Linked DNA regions of Xenopus tropicalis. The protein of the gene in region 2 purifies or fractionates together with the protein of the main gene of each other region. This does not show direct contact. Links are inferred from orthologs where the notes say so. Each region holds a gene or a part of one and is shown on either strand. Other genes may lie near its edges.

Region 1 (10,269 bases), on a different chromosome or scaffold from region 2:
CGAGAAAGGTAAAAAACACAAGAATGTCATTGAAAAGCTGTTGATCAGCTTTGTCAAAAAGCACATGGATTATATGTAAAAAAAAAAAATATCAAGAGGGAAGGAAGAAATTAAATGAGTGTGCTGGAGGGGCAAAGCAAGAGTGACAGACTGGTAGAAGTCAATATATCAGATAATAATGACTGTTGACTTCAAAACTCCCCAGATTTACATTATCAGCACATGGGATCCTTAAAGGAGAAGGAAAGGGTTAAAATTGCGCCCACATAAATGCAAAGGTCTTATGTCCCTGTAGCTGACTGCTTAATTTTTTAACCTTCATAGACCGTATATTCTCTGCACTGTCAGACTTTAATAAACAATTTATGCGGCCACCATGTTGGATATTTAAATTTGTCCAACATGGCGCTGCTTAATGTGCCTGCACGAACCAACTTCCTCCCCCTAGACATAAGCGTGACGTACACTGCGCAAACACAGGCACTTGCAGAGCGAGCGCTCCTGCTTTAGAAATTGCAAGCGCGCTCACACACCGTGTAAAATGCGTATGCGCTTCCTCATGGCCTATATAACTTCGCATGTCACTGGTCTTGGTGCAGGAGCGTGGAATTATGGGAATCTGGAATACACAGCTCAGCGTTTTTTTCCTGTGTTGCCTCAGATCTTCTGAACAGTGAAATATGGGGAGACTTAAGGGCACTATTGAATGAACTGACGGTATGCCTGCAGCTTGAGATTAACTCTTTATTCGCCTTTCCTTCTCCTTTAAAATGATAATTTCTCTGTTTAATGACTGTCCTACTTGCCAGGTACAGATATGGCAGCTGTAATCCGGAAACCTGCGACACAGAGAGCTCTGAAATGCAGCACTGATAATGGTAAGTCTTAAATAAGGCAGTAGCTTGTACTTGATGACAACTAAGTTGCATAAATTCATGTTTATTGCAAAACAGTCCTATAGGTGTTTAACATTAAGCATGTAGGGAGAACCGGGAGATAACTTCTTAAAGGGACAGCGCCCTTACCTGTACTCGATAGGCCACACCAAAATCAAAGGGAAGCACTCCAAGAAGTCATGCAACAAAAATCACTTTATTCCCTCATCTTGTTGGGAGTCACAGCATACAGGTCAAATCACATTGTTCAAACAGGCTTTCTTCAATCATGCAATAAACATATACCATGTCCGTGTCCAGAAGACATCAGCCTTACCAGGGGTAGCTAACTCTGGCTATTCACCTCTGTCCCCAGTCTCTATGGGATCTCCTGTCCCCACCTGGCTCAGCAATCCGGCACTCCCTGCGGTGCCCCTTTGCTATTCCACCAGGCCTTTTACTGGCAGACTCTTAGCCCGAAGCTCAACAAGCCCTCTTCTAGCCTACCCCTATCCGCTATGGTGCTCCAGGGCTAAAATAATCCAGATAACCGATCCCCTAACTATACTAAAATGTAGAGCAAAGACTAGCTAACCTATGAAGCTCATTTATGTCTGAGACTGCAGTTGCAGCACCTACAATTTCCCTGCAGTCAGTTGCACAAAAAACCCCACTTTAATTAAAGGTACTTGTGTTAAAATGCACTCCTTGCACTTCCATTTATTTGCATTCGGCACTGCTCAGCCCTTCCTGCCTTCAGCTACCTCCAACTACTGACCAGGCAGTAGCTGGAGGGTTCCCTTCACACCCGGCGTCAATAGGTGTAGAACTCTTGTGCTGAAAAAATTAGGCACAAACATCATTAACATGGCAATGAAGCCACATGGACTTCTGTGCATTCCAACACAAATAAGACACAACTGCGCAAAACGTTGGCATCATTTCTGCGCTTGGTGAATTGGATGCAACTGTGGTAGTTGCAATGAAAATATGCTGCATTGTGGCAAAAAAAAATGCCTATTGCATTTAAAATTGCACTTTGCTCAATGTATTTGCAGAGTTAAATGAGCTCTTATATGTCAGGCCATTGTAAGAAGTAGCAGGAGTAGTAAGCAAAGCTGGCCATACACGGGCTGACTCAAGCTGCAGACTCAGCCCCTCCAGTCAGCAGCTTATCTGCCTGTATATGGGCCCTCCCCAACTTCCTTTGTGAAATCATTCAGATCTATCTAAAAATCTAATAAAGAAAAAAGATATCTGCACAGGGCACTATATATTTTCTTAAATGCTGAATGAGGTTATGTTTGCATGTAGCTCCCTCTAGTGAGGGCTTTCAGGAGAACAGTGGTCAGCTATGGGGCACAAGGAAAATTCATGCAGATCAGAGAAATTTCTTGTCTTAGAAGCAGATTTATTAAAAATGATATTTTCACAGAGAAGTCACATTCCACCCATACTTTTTAATAAATCAAGTTGCAAATTGACTTCCAAAACTTGAGTTGAAAAATATCTTGAATTTTGCCAATAGGACTCCCACATGAACTTGCCACCATTTACATACTGAATTCTTTACATTTGAGTTTTCAAGCTGAAAAATTAGATTTTTTTTTTCTGCCAAAAACTTCAGAATTGTGTTAAAAAGTTGAATTTGATTGTTGATAAATTAGTCCCCTAGTGTTGTCTGTGCTACAAATATGCAACTTGCATCCGGGATAGAAAATCTGCCCAAATTTAGATATTCCACTACAACAGCAGATTTTTTATCTTGCTGAAGTTGCTACTCAGAGCTTGCTGACTGTGTTTTCCCATTGTTTGTCTTAGTAAGCTATTTACTCCTAGAGGTGAGCTATACCTCCAAATACATCTTCACCCCCCTTAAGTTTCAGCTTAAAAGATTAACCTTTGTTCAACCTTCTGCTGTCATTTTTGCATAGAACTAACTTTATTCATTCAGAGCACTTATTATTATTATATGCAGTGCTGCATACAACATTCATTGGCCTTTAAAGTCTGCAGCCTAATTTTGGTTTCAGAGACAAAGGGAAATTGCCTGGCGTAAAATAACCCAAAATGATTGGGCACCACAGTTGCCAGAGGAATTGATCTATTGATTTAAAATGAATCCACTGTGGGGAAATAAGGAAGCATGGGGGACATGGGGACCCTTAACCTGCCTGCACCCACGACATGAGGGAGCTGTGGGAGAGAAGGTTAGCGATAATGTGTCACCATTCTGGTTACCTATATAATAAATATGGCCCAGGTTGGGACCCAAAAATAGGGACCCATCCTATTTAAGTTTTATCTCTATGATCTGCCAAAATAAAGTGAAAACTGTACCACAATTAAAATACCACAATGTAATTAAATTATGCCACAATATTGATTAAAACCAAAATTGGTTAGTGCAATGTAAAGATGTCAAACTGGGTAAAATGAAATTAGTGATGAGAAAAAAGCTTTTAAAGCCCTGGTGTAAGGGACATCCTATCAACGCAGAAATAATGAAGGACAGCAGGCTGCAATTCTATGCTAAACTCAGCGGGGAACTGGCGGGATATTATGCCACAAGTAAAAATAAAATGTTTTGTGTAGAGCCACAAATAAGCTCACCAAATACCACGTGGGGTCCAGGTGTGCATGGCCTAGACCTACAGTTAGAGGAGGAGGATTATACCATGGATGTGTAGCAGGCGCTCAACACATCCCACGAACAGGCAAAGTAAAAGAATAGAAAACCTTATTTTAAGTAAACACAAGAGTTATGATCACCTTACAGAGGCGCGTGCACATTGACAAGTGGCGGGGCAAGAAAGCCCAGACTAGGGATAGGCAGAAGAGGTACCTGCCTAGTGCCCCCTGCCATTGTGCCATTGGCAGGTGCCTGTTCTGACTATCCCTAGTTCTGTTTTTTTTGCCTTACACATTTCGTGCACTTCGTCACAGGCTGGTGAGACATTACTAAGTGAATGGAACAGAAGGGCGTGAAGAGAAGAAAGAACGATGACTGCTCTTGTAATTATGATGCTGATATATAACAACAGCAATCTGACATGCTGTCATACCATAATATGGTTGGAAGATAGGTAGTGATGAGCTAAATTTTTTGGCAGGAATAGTTTTGCTGCGAAATTCTGCATTTTGCTAAGGACAAAATTTTTCGTGGATTGCAGAGTGAGGGAAAGTGTCTTGGGCGCATCAAATAAATTGCTGTTGTGTCGCTTATTACTTAAGATAGGTATTTACTCCATTTCTGCATTATAATTTCTGCATTAAAATAATGCTTAGCAACACATCATGTATTTTTTCTTTGCAAACAGACTATGAGAAAAACATCCCATTTAAAATTAATCAGCATTATCAACTTAGTCGATGTGTATGAGGCAAAAAATGCTTTCCAGTTTCTTATGCAGCGACTCACATAATTAAAAATGCAGTTCTAATGCGTTTTTGATTATCAGCATGCAGTTTCACTAATGTTTTACATTATATGTTAATCAGAAGAAAAGTGGTATTAGATCATCATTTTTATTTTTTTACTGTGCTAGAAAAAATACTTTGCAATGCACGTCTTTTGTGAAACTGAATGTTGAGCTGTCAAAATTCTGAAATTAAATATCTGGGTTTTAGGATATCTAAACCATAAATGCTTATTTATGTGCCCTTACTAAAAGTGACAAAATAAATAAATATATACATTTTTTATTTACACAGGCTCACATGGTTCCATAGAATGAGAAGAAGCCACGATAGTCTGCCACTGACTCACAAGGACCGTCTCCCTACCCTAGGCTGTTTTTAATCAAATAATTCAGATTTCTAGGTAGATCTTCTTTTTCTCTGTAAATATAATAAAACAGTACCTCGTATTTGATCCTAACTGAAATCACTGTCACTTCATAGCTTAGTTTAAAAGACCAAATCTGATAATTACACAAACCAGCATCTCTGGCAGACATTATTTAAATGTCCTAAATGTGGTATTTTTAGCAAATCCACTCACCATGCACTGATAGGAGTAAACAACAGATTGTCTTTTCTTTCAAGTCCATGTCAATCTGATAACTGCTAAACCCTAAAAACTAAACCCTAAAAATGAATATGGCTAGAAATGACATATGTTATATACTGAATTACTGCACCAGCAATGACCCAGGCCTTCAAAGTTGTCACAGGGGTCATCATCCTCGATTTTTGTCAGTGACAGTCACATTCTCAGTGTGCTCTGGGCAGCTGTTGAGAAGCTAAGCTGGGTTTTGTCAAAATATGAGGTTGGCCTGTAATATAAGCTAACCTCCTATGTACTAATTATCTGTACAAATTACTAATCAGTCTTATATTGTGACATTTGTATTCTGTATATTGCGTTTTGGTCCCTAAGCTGACAGCGGTCCAGAGAATGTGCAGTGAATAAGCAGAAAAGAACATGGGAACTACTGGAGGCATCTTTAGAGGCACAAATCCTCCCTGCTAAAGGGCTGTGGCTACCTTGGGCTGATACAACATTTCTACCCTACTTCTTTAGTTAAAGGGAACCTGTCACCCTAAGAAATAATTCCAAATGTGTTTCTCAGATTAGTTGAGCAAAATTAACTTGACATACACTTTATAAATAATATAAATCTTGTTTCCTTCAGTCTTGGAATTACACAATCATAGCAAGCAGGCAGGCACCATTTTGGAGACTCTGTTATTAAGACAAGCTTTGCATCATACCAAAATCTTGTTTATATGCCAGAAGAGGGACCTAATGCCCATGCACTGGCTACACAATTAGATGGTAAGGAGGGAAGGGGAAAGTGAGAGCTGAATGGAAAGTTAAAGTTATAGTCTGCCCTGCCTGACAGCTGGGATTTTTAAATGCCTTTATAATGGGCATGGATGTGTAAATAAAAAAAGGAATTTGAGTTTCATGTTTAATTTGAAAAATTATTTTTATTGTCTGGGTGACAGGTCTTCTTTGAGCTTTTTATCCTCTACAAGTGATGGTCAGGCAATAAGGTAGACCTGGGCAAAAAATGCCCTACCATATTGTTATGTTCATCCTTACCTTTCTCACCTTTAGGCTACTGCCACACCAGCTGATGCAGATTCTCAGCCTGCGAATAAACACAGGGCGCAAATCAGCCCCTATGCTTGCCTTAGTCTACCCGTGTGACTGCACCCAGAGTATAAATTAATGTAGGGACTGATTATTGTCCTTCCTTTATCCAAAAGCTGAGAATCAGTCTGGTTTGGCAGTAGCCTTAAAGGCAGAGAAGACTTTCTGAATTAGGTGCAACTCTCTCTCACCATATATTTATTATTCCATGACAATTAAAAAATATATATGTCAACACATTCACAGACTTTCAATCAAATGCTACCTTTTCCAGAGATAACTTCTTTTTCCACTCGCCATCGAAACCCAAACTGTTGAAACAAAGCAAAAGTCATACATATATTAATATATGAATGCACAAAGGAACAAAATTAAGAACATAAGAAGTAACACCTTTTATCATAAAAGTTAATATATAAAACAGGATTTCATAAAGCATTTTGTACCCTGGCCACCTAAAAAATGTTATACCATAGCCACCTAAAATCTTTATCCAGAAACCCATTATTGTGGTAGCTTCTAAAAACAGCAATGGCAACAATTCTTCATTTTTTACTAACTTGCTTTTTTCTTTATAGGACAACAAACGCATATTCACTGGCATGGTCCTTATATGTTAGGCATCCCCCAATTAATAAAGATTAAAAGATTGTTCGTTTCCCCCATTGAGGTTCAGGGATGAATCGTCAGACATGGAGGAAGAAACAATAGGGATTCTACCTCCCCCGGCCGATTCAGCCCTAAATTCAGATTTCACTTGGGCACCTTCAACGGCACCCGATCAAAATCTTTTAACCCACCCGATTGACACTACATTTATGTAGGTCTTTGTTTATTCTAAGGCTTTTTTTTTTTAAACCAAGTCTAATAAAATAGACTTGGAAAAAGTCGGGGTAAACCTATGACACAGCACCCTGTCGTTTTCCCTCTGTGAGCAAGAGTCATTGGGTGAGCGAGCTGACCAGGGAACACTGTAGATGTTTGTTAGACATTGGCATTATTTTAGGGTCACAAACCTTGTTTTCCTTGTATCTGCTAAGATCTGCTATGCAATATTCTTTGAATAATTTATCATAGTATTTCTTTGCAAGTTTCTTGTCCCTGTCAAAGAGAAAAATTAAAACAAATAAGTCTGGAGTGGGGCCCATACTTGGGGACTCGATATGGGAGACATTTAAATTTAGAGTAGTTATAAATTTTTGATTAAGTATACATATTTCTAATTTTAGGTAAGTTATTTGAAGGATTCCTGTATGTTGAATAAGCTAAATGCAGTAAAAAAGCTGATTTCTCTTTTTTTTATTTAAATGCACAAAAAAATGAGACAGAATATTTGTATCACAGCTTTAATATAAATGGTGCATTATTAGCTTATTTAGCACAGAGCTACTAGTAGCAGCTACTTGTTGTGGCTACTAAAATAGACAATGCTGATCATTTACTGATAATTGTCTGTGTGTTTTAGCAAAGGCAATTCTCAGTACTGTCTATGGCAGGGTATTTTCTGAAGTTTGGTAGCCGCGTAAAAGTAGCTGCTACTAGTAACTCAGTGTGTCTTCACCCTAATGGGTGCCTACCCCTGCCCTCTCCTCATTCAGCGCTACCATATGCAGACAAAGCTGTATTCATAAAGGAACACACAGGTCTTTAAGCTCCATTTACAGAGCAGTGTGCAAAACAAACCATTGTAGTTTGGGACAGTTCTTTGCAATTTGTTTACAATAATAAGGGTATGAGCCAGCTTTAAAGGGTAAGACATACTTCAACTAATGATGAGTTTATGGAAAACCAAAATGTAGCTGAATATTTTTTTTCACTGACCACTGCAATCAAAAATCTATTTTCGTATCTACAGCTCTCTGTCCTCTCAGACTCTTTCCTATTCATACACAGGGGCTACCAATAGCCAATCACAGCCTATATTTGGCACCCCCAGGAACCTTTTGCACGCTTGTGTTGCTCTCCAACTTATTTTGACATTTGAATGTGGCTCACAGATAAAAAAAAGGTTGGGACCCCCTGATCTACACCATAAAGAAGTTTATTTTAGGGTGACTACACATTTAAGGAAGGTGTGAATAGACGTTTCTTGCATAATATGCCTTGTGCTGTTCCACTTAGCATGAAGGAGTGGTGTTTTATGTTCCGATTAAAAGTTTGCACCCTACATACATTATCATGACAAATGGTGGATTAAACTCAAAACATCCTGGCAAAAACATCAACACGCAATCACTAGGTTCAAACTACATCAGTCTATTTCCTGATGAATTAGATAATACATTTTAAACAAACCTGGGATCTCAGCATTAGAAAATCAAATTTTAATGAATAACTAGCGTGTAGTTGCATATACCAAGTCATGTCTTCCTCGTCTTCATCCTGCCACAGGAATCTGTGGTTCTCTCTAATGACATCCAAATCAGTTTTATTATTTTCTCTGCAAATAAAAACAGCAGTAAACATAACAAAACAGTATTTTGTACAGAATTTGTACAGTTATGACCTATGCATAAGGGTTAAGTCCTTGAGTCTTCTTACGTTTGGATATTGTGTGGGTACTGGTGATATATTGATATAAACATATTTTACTGCCATTATGCATTAAAAAAAATTGTTAGGCACCCCCCCAGTGATTGTAATCATCATTTATCCGATACCCCAGGCCGGTGCTCCTGTTAGCCTAAACCTGCACCAGCCTGGGCTACCTGAGAGTGAGTGATCCTCTTTCTTCTTCTGTCTTTGCACCGCTTGCGCAGTAAAGTGAAAAGCCAAACTTTAACAAAAAAGCCGTTTTTTCACTGTACTGCGCATACATGGGCATGCAGGTACCCTGAGCCGGTGCAGTTTTCTGCTGACTGGGGCACCACTCAGGGGTATCAGGTAAGTGATTGCAATCACTGGGGGGTGCCTAACATTTTGGCACCACCCAATGATTATACCTTTATAATCCCTTTAACGCCACACACACCAATTATAATTGTCTTTCGGTTTGACGAATATAACTATTATTATTAGTCTATTTGCAGAGTTAAAAAAACCATAACGTGGGAAAAAATTCCAGTTATTTAAAAAACTATAATATACACCTATATGCACCTAATAATAATTAGCACAATGTGTTGAAAATGTATTCTGCCTATTATTTAATTAATATTCTGATTTTTTTGACATTATAAAGAATTACTGGAAAACTGTCATTTTTCATTAAACTCAATACCTCACTTTTCCCACATAAACAAGGGAAATGTCACTAGAAAGTGAGCTCTGCATAAACAAACCCTAAACTGAAGCCTGTTATACTAATATGTTTTACTACTTAAGCAGTGACTAAGCATGAAAGAAAGTAAAATATGGAGTTAGAAAGTGAAAGTGGTTTCATTTTCTTGTATAGTGTAAGAAAACAAAAACCATATAATAACCAGATAATGCTTAATTAAAAACAGACAAGATGTATGTTCAACACAAGTCCTGTTCACTGAGCTGAAGTTGAAAAGGAGTGTATACCTGTAAGAATGTTTGATTTTATTAACTTGCATACAAAGCCTTTTGGTGATGTGAATATCACTTATCTTAGTTTATGTCTAATTACAAGTTTAGGATATGTGTATGTGTTTTATGTGTATAATTCAATGTTTAGGATATTCTTCAGTATAAAGTACTTACTTTGAATGCTGGAAATCTTGCAGTTTTCCACCATAGTACAAAATATAATCATTGACAAATTTCTGGTGTCTGGCAAACTGCAAAAGTAAAGGTTAAAGGAAACAAATATTTTCTGCACAAAACAATAACCTGCTCCTCTGCTTAATCAATGGACTTGGAAAACAACAATGAGTTTTTAAGACCCGCAGGTATTAGATTTATTTTTCTTCTTTTGTCTGGCTTTATTTGGTGGCATCATATACAGTGGTGTGAAAAACTATTTGCCCCCTTCCTGATTTCTTATTCTTTTGCATGTTTGTCACACAAAATGTTTCTGATCATCAAACACATTTAACTATTAGTCAAAGATAACACAAGTAAACACAAAATGCAGTTTTTAAATGAGAGTTTTTATTATTTAGGGAGAAAAAAAATCCAAACCTACATGGCCCTATGTGAAAAAGTAATTGCCCCCTGAACCTAATAACTGGTTGGGCCACCCTTAGTAGCAATAACTGCAATCAAGCGTTTGCGATAACTTGCAACGAGTCTTTTACAGCGCTCTGGAGGAATTTTGGCCCACTCATCTTTGCAGAATTGTTGTAATCCAGCTTTATTTGAGGGTTCTCTAGCATGAACCGCCTTTTT
Region 2 (10,369 bases):
AGTTCTTATGTGTAGTGCCGGCTCCTTACAAAAGCACTAAGATAGTTGCCTACACACCATTATTATAACCAAACAAAACTACATTTGTTGGTTCAAGAATAACATTTTAAATGGTAGAGTAAATTATTTGCTATGTAAACAGTGTAATTTAGAAATAAAAAGGACACCATAAAAATCGTGACAGAATCCCTTTAGAAAGAACCACTGTGTGTAAAAAAAACTGGTAATGCAGTCAAAGACATTCCATGAAATGGCTAGCGGCATCTCTTGCTAATCTAACAAAATCTACTAATTTGTGGATGTAGCTTCAAGCAAGCAAATGTGTCAAATAACTATTTTAAAATATTTAAAATAGAACTTAAGAAGAAATGTAGTCTTCAGTCCTCAGTTATTGCAACAAAAGACTGAGATTTTCTTTGAGCATATGTGAGTTAATAGCAATTCAGCCTAAACTTCTGCCTGCCAACAACCTATCTACTGCAGCTCTGCCCAAATAAATCCTAGGTGTTTGGCCAAGCCAAATCAGACCCATTTACAAAATGTGAATATAAAACACTGGACAAATAAAGGGAGATCATTTAAATATGGGTAGATATTGCTCCAGCTCACACATGCTCATTATGCAGGGAAACGTAACTGATCCTACATCACATGCATTGGCATAATGGGCCAGCTGGTGCACTCACTCATTATACACATGCATATAGCCCAATACAAAGCTCTACTCAGGTGTTGTGTTGAGGTCAGAACAAAAAATATGGCATGTGGGAAATAATTTTCATGTGCTCTTTAGTGTTCCTGTACTTTCTCCTCACCCCACATTTACAAAACATACCTGCAGGATAATACATAAGAGAGTTTTGGGCTTTGTACTCCCATGTGTCCAGACCAGCCTTCCCACACTCTATGGCTTGCATCTCAGCTGAAGGCAGAGCCAGGTTCTTTTGGAGTCTCTGAAAAGTAAGAAATAAGGCTCAGTGCCAGTCCTTAGAAGACAGCTCTTATGACAATACTTAACTTTTAATTTTACTCACATAAGCAGTTCTGTCATTCTGCATTTGCACAAGATTTTGCAAGATTAATTGAGTAACTGAGATAAGAAAGTTTAATAAGCCAAAGGAACAACCAGCCTTCAAATACGACAAAAAGAATGCTGGCAGAGAAAAAGAGGTCACCAGCTCCTGCCCCATGTCTGTAGTGACATCAATGGCTTGCTCCTTTCAATGTGCACAGGGGATATATTTCTGCATAGCCATCTCAGATATGCATATTTGGATGAAAATCCACCCATGTAAATAGTAACAGGCACATGCCAGTGATGTTTCTTACTAAGAACACAAATCAGACTTGGGTTATATCCATTTTCTGCATCAGTGTTTTGCTGTTGACAAAAAAAAACATAGGAATAGGCCTTCTCAGACCCAATCTGACATCCGCCTAAAAGGTTTTATAAAAAGACAAAAACACAATTCTGTACCCTAGGGCAGTGCTGTCCAACTGGCGGCCCCCCTCTGTGTGGCCCCCCACTTGTCTGGCTGCTTTGATGGCTTACCTTTCTGTAAGCTTTAAATGGTATCAGTACTGAGATTAACTGGCCCCCTGCATGGTTCTCACCTCAGATTCAGGCTGTAATCCCCTGTATTGTTTAAAAATGTAATCCCCTGTGTTTTTCACACCTACTGTAGGTACCTATGCAGGTACTGCCTGGACTATGCTACCTGTGTGTATGGCACACACAGGGAGCATAGGGCAGGCAGAGTATGGCACACACAGGCAGGGTAGGGCAGGGAGGGTATGGTACACACAGGCAGGGTAGGGCAGGCAGAGTATGGCACACACAGGCAGGACAGGGCAGGCAGAGTATGGCACACACAGGCAGGGTAGGGCAGGCAGAGTATGGTACACACAGACAGCATAGGACAGGCAGAGTGCTGCCTGTGTGTGCCTTACTCTGCTTTCCCTATGCTGCCTGTGGAAGGTGATCCTGGCAGGGGTTTGTTGTGGGAGTTTGTTAGCAGTTGGAAATAGTCATTATATGGTCCCTAAGGTGTGTAATTATGTACGGGGGGTTGCTGTGCTATCCACAGGGGAGGGGGAGGCATATGGAATTTAAGGGTATATCTTAATATGACATAATTCTTTCACATATGAATGATGGTTGAGATACCCACAGTAAGGACCAAGCATTTAAGATTTTGCTGTGCTACCACCATTGTGATAAAATAGGTGTGGTTGGAAGTGGGTGTGGTTTCAAAAAGGGGAGTGGTCAAAACTGGCTTCCATTAGCGGCCCTCCACCATGTATGCTAGAGAAATTCCGGCCCTCGGCACCATTGAAGTTGGACAGCACTGCCCTAGGGAATACATATACTGAAAAATAAATTCTATATCCTGCAACTGGGTGAGAAGGAATGTGGGGGTTATAGCAACCCTTTCAAGCAGTAAGTCCAAAACTGGATGTGAACAGTGATGAACACTCCTTTGGGTATAGACAAACAGGAAAAACTGAAATCTGTTAACACTTGTGTTAGTGTGTAAAGACATGCAGAAAAATCCACTGTACATCAGTGGGTACTCTTTAAATGACCATTCCCCATACCTCTTTATACTCTTCTTCTGCCTCATAAAGCCAAGCATGTTTGCTCTTCTCCTTCTCTTTAGCAACTTCCATTATCTGTTCAAAAGAAGCATTATCCTCACTTGTGTGTCTGGCCAAAAAGTTGTCCAAACCAGGAAGCTTGTCAACATTCTTTTCTGTTATTGCTCCATCTGCTGTAAAATATATTTTAATGTAAACAAGCAGTGTGAAAAAGTAGTGAATATTTTGCTTTCAATTTTGTCATATTAAAAAAAAAATAGATAATCACTTACCTTCCTCTCCTGTTCTTTGGACAGTGGCCATGGAGGGAGTGCCAGGAACTCCAGCAGGAGTTTCAAAGGTTGCTGGTGTTACATCTGCAAAAAACATAAAGAGTTGTACAAATCTCCCATATGTGCATTTGACACATTTACAACTAAATACAGGTATGGGATCCCTTATCCGGAAACCCATTATCCAGAAAGTTCCGAATTATGGAATGGCCATCTCCCATAGACTCCATTATAAGCAAATAATTCTAATTTTTAAAAATGATTTCCTTTTTCCCTGTAATAATAAAACAGTACCTTGTACTTGATCCCAACTAAGATATAATTAATCCTTATTGGAGGCAGAACAGTCCTATTGGGTTTATTAAATATTTAAATGATTTTTAGCAGACTTAAGTTATGGAGATCCAAATTACGGAAAGATCCCTTATCCGGAAAAGCCCAGGTCCCGAGCATTCTGGATAATAGGTCCCATACCTGTATTATGACTCAGCAAACAGCCTTAGGGCAAGTCTTATTTAATTCATTATCCTCAACACCAGATGGGGCAATTAGTCGCTGCGCACGAAAACCACGCTCGTGAATAGTGATGAGCGAATCTGTCAAAAGATTCACAAAACGGCGAAAATTCCATGTGCACCGGATTTTGTCGCCCATTTCGCAAAACAAGCCACCAATGGCGAAACTCGAAAATTCACAGCAAATCCATGCCTGCCAAATTATTTTGCCCATCACTTCTCGTGAAGAATAATCTCTGTGCACAGATATACAATTCACTGCATTTGCATGGTACCGTGCAGGACCAGTCCCCACGACTTTTCCAACAGGTGATTAGTTGCTGTGACTGGATTTTAAAAATCACGCCAACTAATCACCCCATCTGTCTTCGCCCTAACACAGCAGAGCGTACAATATAAGATCCCTAGTATGTATGCACATACACTAGGGTCAGTTTCAAGAACCAGTTAACCTGACAGTCTAAGGTAGGCCTAGAAAACAAAAAGTTATAAAAAGATGCTGCTTTTAATTTAATTTAAAAATAAAATCTATATTAATGTATATTGGAAAGGTAGGGTAGGCATAAAATTACACTTTCTTTAAATAATACATTTTGGGAAGTTTTTTATCTTTCATTCTGATTTCCAAACTTCTGCCTCATTGATAGGGTACAAAAACCCCAGCAACCAGTTATCACTCTAAATTCCAAGTTTTACAGCCGGAACACAAAATAATGTAAACAAAAAAAAAGCTATTTTATCTTTAAAATATGTCAGTGTATACTGTAAAAACCTGGGAATATTTTTAGCTAGAATTAAAATTGGTATTAATAAACATATTCCCAAGTTTTCAATGCGACTGCCACCCACTTCCATTGCTGTCTCCTACCTTAAACCTTTTTCTCACTGCTCCAGTCTTGGAAATTCTATACCTATTGCAGTCTTTAAAAAAACAAACTCATCTGACAATTAATATTTACATTTATATATGTAGTAATGTTTCGGAATTATTTAAGCCAGGCTGCTACTCCCTATCTCGCATGGGAATAATGTGTAAAGCTTGTCTCGAAACCCAAAGTAATCAATTAGCTAGTAGCAATTACTGTTTACTGATTGGCGGCTACAAATTGCTACATTTTAGACATTTTATTACATTAACCCATTAGATGTTGTTTCTAAGCAGGCAAGCCCATTATTTAAAACCCAAGCAGCATTTGCATTAATTAAGTAGCATGAATATAAAATATATAAGTAACAGGATCTTCCCCATGAGCTCATTAGTAATATAAACTTACAAGGCAGTGGAGTATCCTGAGCTGATTTGCCCAAGGTGGAGCCAAACTTAATGGAAATCTGTCTCATCTTCTCAAGGTCTCCACATTCCTCTGCTTCCAAATATTCCTTCTGAGCCCGCAACTTCTCAACATCTGGGAAGAAATCTCTCTGAATGATTTTCTGAAGATTCTGCATGAAGATAGAGAAAAACAAAAAGGTGGTTTTTACAAACCACATATACTGTTTGCTATGCCGTACAAAAGACAAGCTAGACAAAGACTTACTTATGTAATCACACTTTATATAATAAAAATCAAGATTTGTCTAACCACTGAAACTGAATCTCTAAAACGGAGCATATGATGTCCACACACTCCACATATTCCTCATTAAAAAAAAAACACAAAAGAAAAGTTGTATTTCATGTTATGAATTCCAAGTTTAGGGGGTTAATGTGGCATTTCATTTAGGCATTAATCTGCTGATAAGGGTACAAGCATTTTAGAAAATATAGGGTTTCTATTTAAATCCTATTTTTTTGGGAGTTTTTTTTAATACAATTGCTCTCAGTAGTGGGAACCCATCAAAAACTAGCAAGCAGGCTCTTGTTCCAATTACTCTTTTCATTTATACATCCATAACATGTTGCTTTAACTTTGAGTGGCATGCATTAAAAGGAGAACCAGTGGGCTATTATCAAACTATATAGGGGTTATGTAAGGTACTAAGTTTGCCCATGTGCAGTAAGCCATAGTAAACAATGAGCAGGTAGCATTTACTGATCACCTTTTAAAAGCAAACATCTTATTGGTTGCTATGGGTTACTGCAGATGGGTAAACATGTAGGGGTCAAGGGTAAGGGCCCACGGTGAAATTAGTCGCCCATGGTTAGATCTCGGCTACAGTGGGAGACTTATCTCCAAGAAATTCCTTTCCATCGGCAATAAAGTGAATGGCCGGTGGGAAAGTTGCATTAAATTTTCACCTGCAGAAGGAACTTTGTGCCTGATGATACCACTGACATTTGCTTATAGCTGAGCTCCACTGTCTTCTATGATAATATATATTTAACAGTTAATATTAAAAAAAAACCTGTGATTATTGGTTGAAGTAGTTGCTCTATTGTCAAAGGGGCATTTGCCCGTCTCATGTAATTTAGTTTAGGTAACTTGCCATGCGTGTGAATATTATAGGGCCAGTGCTCAGTTTTTCGGCACAGTACTGCAAAGACTCTACGACATCGCACTGATCTGACAGCTGTCCCCAAAAACACACTCAAGAGCACATTCCTTCTCATGTCACCGTATCCCCCGTGACTTACCTGTATATACGTCTCTTCACACAGCACCTTCTTCTTTGGCCTGCTGCTCTCTGCTGCCTCAGGGACTTCTCTTTGTATGTCTAAAGCTCCTGCTCCAGGCTTGTGTTTCACTAATGCCCCAGTGTTTTCACTCTCCGCTCCAGGGGCTGCCATCCCGCGGTACTGACACAGAGACACCAGCACACAAACGCTCACATATATAAAGCCACAAGGATTCTTGCTGTGTATAGACGTCTAAAAAACAAATCGCAATCCCACCGCAATATAACTACATTCAGCAGACCCTCTCCGACACCATACAACCACAACGCATTCCGGAAGATGAAGCGCAATAGCGTATTGCATTCTGGGAAACGTAGTTGTAACGTGAGTAAATTGCCGGAAGTTGTAGTGTGGGATGCGGGGAACCTTCCAGCAATGAATTCATACAGGAGTCAATACAATAATAACAAAAGGGATAAATACCAAATATAATTATATTCAAGTTTAAATGCTGAGTAGGAAAGAGACCAGGGAAAGGAATTCCATTCCTTATAAAATTTACATTTTTTTTCCTCGGGTTTTCAGACTATTCACTTATTTTATAGGTACAGTTTGATTTTGCTTGTTTGCTTACAATTCATATTTGTATTACATACTGACACGGTATTTTATATCCTGTAGTTAATGTTATGTCACTTTATGTGATTTACAAAAGTATGGAACTATACCTCCCAACATTTTGAAAATGGAAAGAGGGACAAAAAGAAATGCCACACATAGCAAGGTGAATTTCATTTTTTGGGGTCTTGTTTTATGTGTTATTACAGTTTTGTTTAAAAAATGCTGAAATTGCCCTTTAAGCTGCAAGTCAGTTCCCCACAAGAGACCTGTTTAGCTTATAAGTTACAATTGTATTTCAGTGCAGGTGAAGCTTGTTAACTTTTTGGGCTCTCTGCCAAAAGCTACTTTTTAATTAAGTTTGAGAAACATTTGTATCTTTTTTGGTCTTCAGTGCAATGAAAAGGGCAATGAGGGACTTTTCAGTAAGAATCCAGGACTGCAGGCTGAGCTGTCAAAACAGGGCCGGAACTAGGGGTAGACAGACAGGCACCTGCCTAGGGCACAACGATTGGGGGGCGCCAGGCAGGAACCTCTCTTGCCTACCCCGTAGTCCACGCTACCTTGTCATTGCCCCCGCCGCTTGTCATTACGCGGTGGGGGCAATGACCTCCCCCTGTGCTTGATGGAACTGCACATGCGCGCCAAAGCACACACGAGGGCGGGGAAAGTGCAGGGAAGAGGTGACCGACCGCATTGCCTAGGATGGCCGGTCAGCTTGGCCCGCCTCTGGTTGGGAGCTGTTTGAGGTGCCTTGAGAATGTTTATGATCATTATGATTTAATTAGCATGCATACAAGGACATGCCTTTCAGAGGGGCTGCTGTAAGATGCCATAGACAGTAACTATTTAGTGGGCTGGTGGAGGGCTTTTTGGGTCTCTGTGTACTTGAAATGCCAGGGCCTGTTTGGAATCCCTGGGCCTGGTTTGCAACCCTGCTAAATGCATATACACTACTAATGTTTTGTAAAACATTGTAATGATCTTTGTCTAATAAAGACATGATCTTTGTCTAATAAATTACATATTTGTAATCTTACAATAGGCATTTTACAATAGGCATTTCACAACCTTACTGCATTCAGGCTTGCTGCATCAAGCTCCAGAAGGGGGAGCCGTTCACCTTAGGATATTCTCTTTGCAAATAGAGGAGAACACCAGAATGTAGATGTTCTGCTCGGTGAATTTGTTGCACACTTGTACAGCAAAATATATTTCACATGTTGTGTTGTTTAAGTCTGCAATAAATTGTACTGTATATCTGCCTTGTGGTGATCTCCTTGTCACTTGCAAAAAGTATATTTTGAATCTTCTCTATTCACATGTTGTATTGATTGATTACAAGGATACTGGCACTTTTTTCTCAGCACAACAAGCAATAAAAAGCATCACTACTTTGTAAGGTTAATGGCACATTGGTAGCTGATCCACTACCTTCCATCCCATTTCTCTGTGTGCACTGCTAAATATGCTCTCAGTGTGTTAAGTGGTAAATCCAGTGCATACAGATAGAGGGGATGGAAGGCAGCAGATAGGCTTTTCTCCTGGCCTATCTCTGACCTGTTTGTTATTAGCACAATGGCTGAGAGGTTTAAACCCCATAACTTATTTTTTGCCAATACACACAATATTTTGGGCCCCACCTCCAGAGTTAAAAGGGTGGAAGTCACTAAAAAGGTAATTAAAAGTGGTAATAGAATAGAGGCAATCCTATAATGCATTGTGAAGATAAGAGATAAGGGTGTACTCCAAGCATGTTACAGAGTCACTAAAAGACAATTCCATTCCCTAAACCTAACCTAAATAACTACATTTATAGTAAAGGTGTAACCTTTAAAACTATCATTAAAATTTTAGTAGTATTTAATGTGGCCCCTTACCAGATAGACAGCTTTGGGCTTCCTCTCTGTAGAAGGTGGTTGCTGGACCCCAAATTCATTCCATTAAAGGGGTAGTTCACCTTTATGTTCATTTTTTGTGTGTATTAAAATGAAATATTCTCAGCAACGTTTTAGTTGGTCTTCATTTTTTTTTTTTTTTTTAGTTTTTTAATTATTTGCCTTCCTCTTCTGACTCTTTACAGCTTTCAAGTGAGGGATCACTGACCCCAGAAGCAAAAAACTATTGTTCCGTAAGGGTACAATTTTATTGTTATTGTGTTATATTTAGGGATGCACTGAATCCAGTATTTAAGGATCTGGCTGAACCCTGAATCCTTTGCAAAAGAATTGGCCAAATACCGAACAAATCCTGATTTGCATATGTAAATTAGGAAAAGGAAGGGATAAGACAAATATGTGTGTGGCAAAACATTTTCAGTTTTTGTGTTTATGTGACAAAAAGTCATGTGATTTTAAGGATTCCAATTCGGTTCAGCCAAAAGCATGGATTCGGCTGAATCCTTCTAAAAGGCCAAGCTTGGCCAAATCCCGAAGTGAATCCTGTATTTGGTGAATTGCTGGTTATAGTCTGTTACTTTTTCTGTTCAGGCATTTCCTATTCATATTCCAATCTCCTACTCACAACAATACTTGGTTGTTAGGATAATTTGGACCCGAGCAATCAGATAGCTGCTGAAATTCCAAACTGAAGAGCTGCTGAACAAAAAGTTTAATAGTCCAAGAACCACACATAATCAAAAATGAACACCAATTGTAAATTGTCTAAGAATATCATTCTCTACATCATTCTAAAATTTTATTAATGGAATACTGTCAAGGAAAAACGTGTCTTTTTTTTAATACACATCCATTAATAGAGCTTCTCTAGCAGAATACTGCATTGAATCCATTTCCAAACAGTTTTTTTTATTTCATTTTAAAATGTCACATGGGGCTAGCCATGTTTTTCACTTACCAGGATACCACGGCCATGTGACCTGTACTGATAAACTTCAGTGACACTTTATTGGTGCACTGCAAGTTGGATTGATCACCCCCCTCCCCTCCCCCCCAGCAACCGATCAGTGGAACAATGGGATGGTAGCAAGATAGGGGCTACCTGGAACCTGATATTAGAACAGCACTCAATAGTAAAAAATCCAAGTCTTGCTTGGGACTCCTCCAGTTACATAGGAGTAGGTGAAACAATGGGTTATCTGAAAGCAGTTCTAATGTGTAGCTCTGGCTCCTTCTGAAAGCTCAGAATCAGGCGCAATGCACTGAAGTGGCTGCCTTCATACTAATATTACAACAAAATTTTAAATGGTAGAATGAATTATTTGCTATGTGTAATTTATAGATAAAAAGTATACCATAAAAATCATGAAAATTCCTTTAAGGTGACAACCCCTTTAATACAGAGAGTGCTACAGGGTACGAAACTTAATCGAGGACAGCTGTGGGTTTAAGTGCTACTGCGCATGCCCAGTCCTTATGTCACCTATTTGCATAGCATTTATCCTATTGGCAGCCAGTCAGATTAATGCTATGCAAGTGAATGAGGATGGCTGGGGCAAGCTGCAGTGGTCCACACTGAATGTTTGTTCCCACTGACGATCTTTGCAACAGAACTCAATCTTGAAATTGGGTATGCGCAAACTTTAATGCCGTATGTAAGGCAAAGAATTCATATGTGCTAAAAGATTATATTTGGAAAAGTGCTCCTTTTACAAAGTCCTATCACTTTGGTTGTACTTTGCAAAGGGTTAATATCTCATTTAATCAAAACGGTCTATAGATAAAATAAGGATTTTATTCTCCTGCAAGCCACTCCTTTTAAAGGGATTATTTACTAAGCAGGGGCATTTCATTGTGGATGTGTGTGATGTTGTATGATTTGCTAACAGTTCTCAGGTACATTTTTTGCTG

Evidence for each region. Proteins that work in one complex are often made in the same cells at the same time.
Region 1: the proteins of ess2 (region 2) and fra10ac1 purify together in Homo sapiens (co-immunoprecipitation; 3 studies listed by BioGRID and IntAct, counting the BioPlex papers as one, with this or other methods). This does not show direct contact. The link is inferred for Xenopus tropicalis from reciprocal best matches to the Homo sapiens genes ESS2 and FRA10AC1.

The regions. Positions count from the first base shown.
Region 1 is NC_030683.2:36,063,063-36,073,331, forward strand, and holds part of fra10ac1 (protein FRA10AC1), read right to left. Parts: intron 9,720-10,269; coding exon 9,643-9,719; intron 8,417-9,642; coding exon 8,333-8,416; intron 7,078-8,332; coding exon 6,993-7,077; intron 6,288-6,992; coding exon 6,242-6,287; intron 1-6,241. UniProt on the Homo sapiens protein: May be involved in pre-mRNA splicing.
Region 2 is NC_030677.2:153,455,816-153,466,184, forward strand, and holds the start of ess2 (splicing factor ESS-2 homolog), read right to left. Parts: upstream 6,308-10,369; 5' UTR 6,114-6,307; coding exon 5,961-6,113; intron 4,829-5,960; coding exon 4,660-4,828; intron 2,955-4,659; coding exon 2,871-2,954; intron 2,772-2,870; coding exon 2,599-2,771; intron 954-2,598; coding exon 836-953; intron 1-835. Other genes in the region: gsc2 (homeobox protein goosecoid-2), read right to left, coding at 10,341-10,369. UniProt on the Homo sapiens protein: May be involved in pre-mRNA splicing.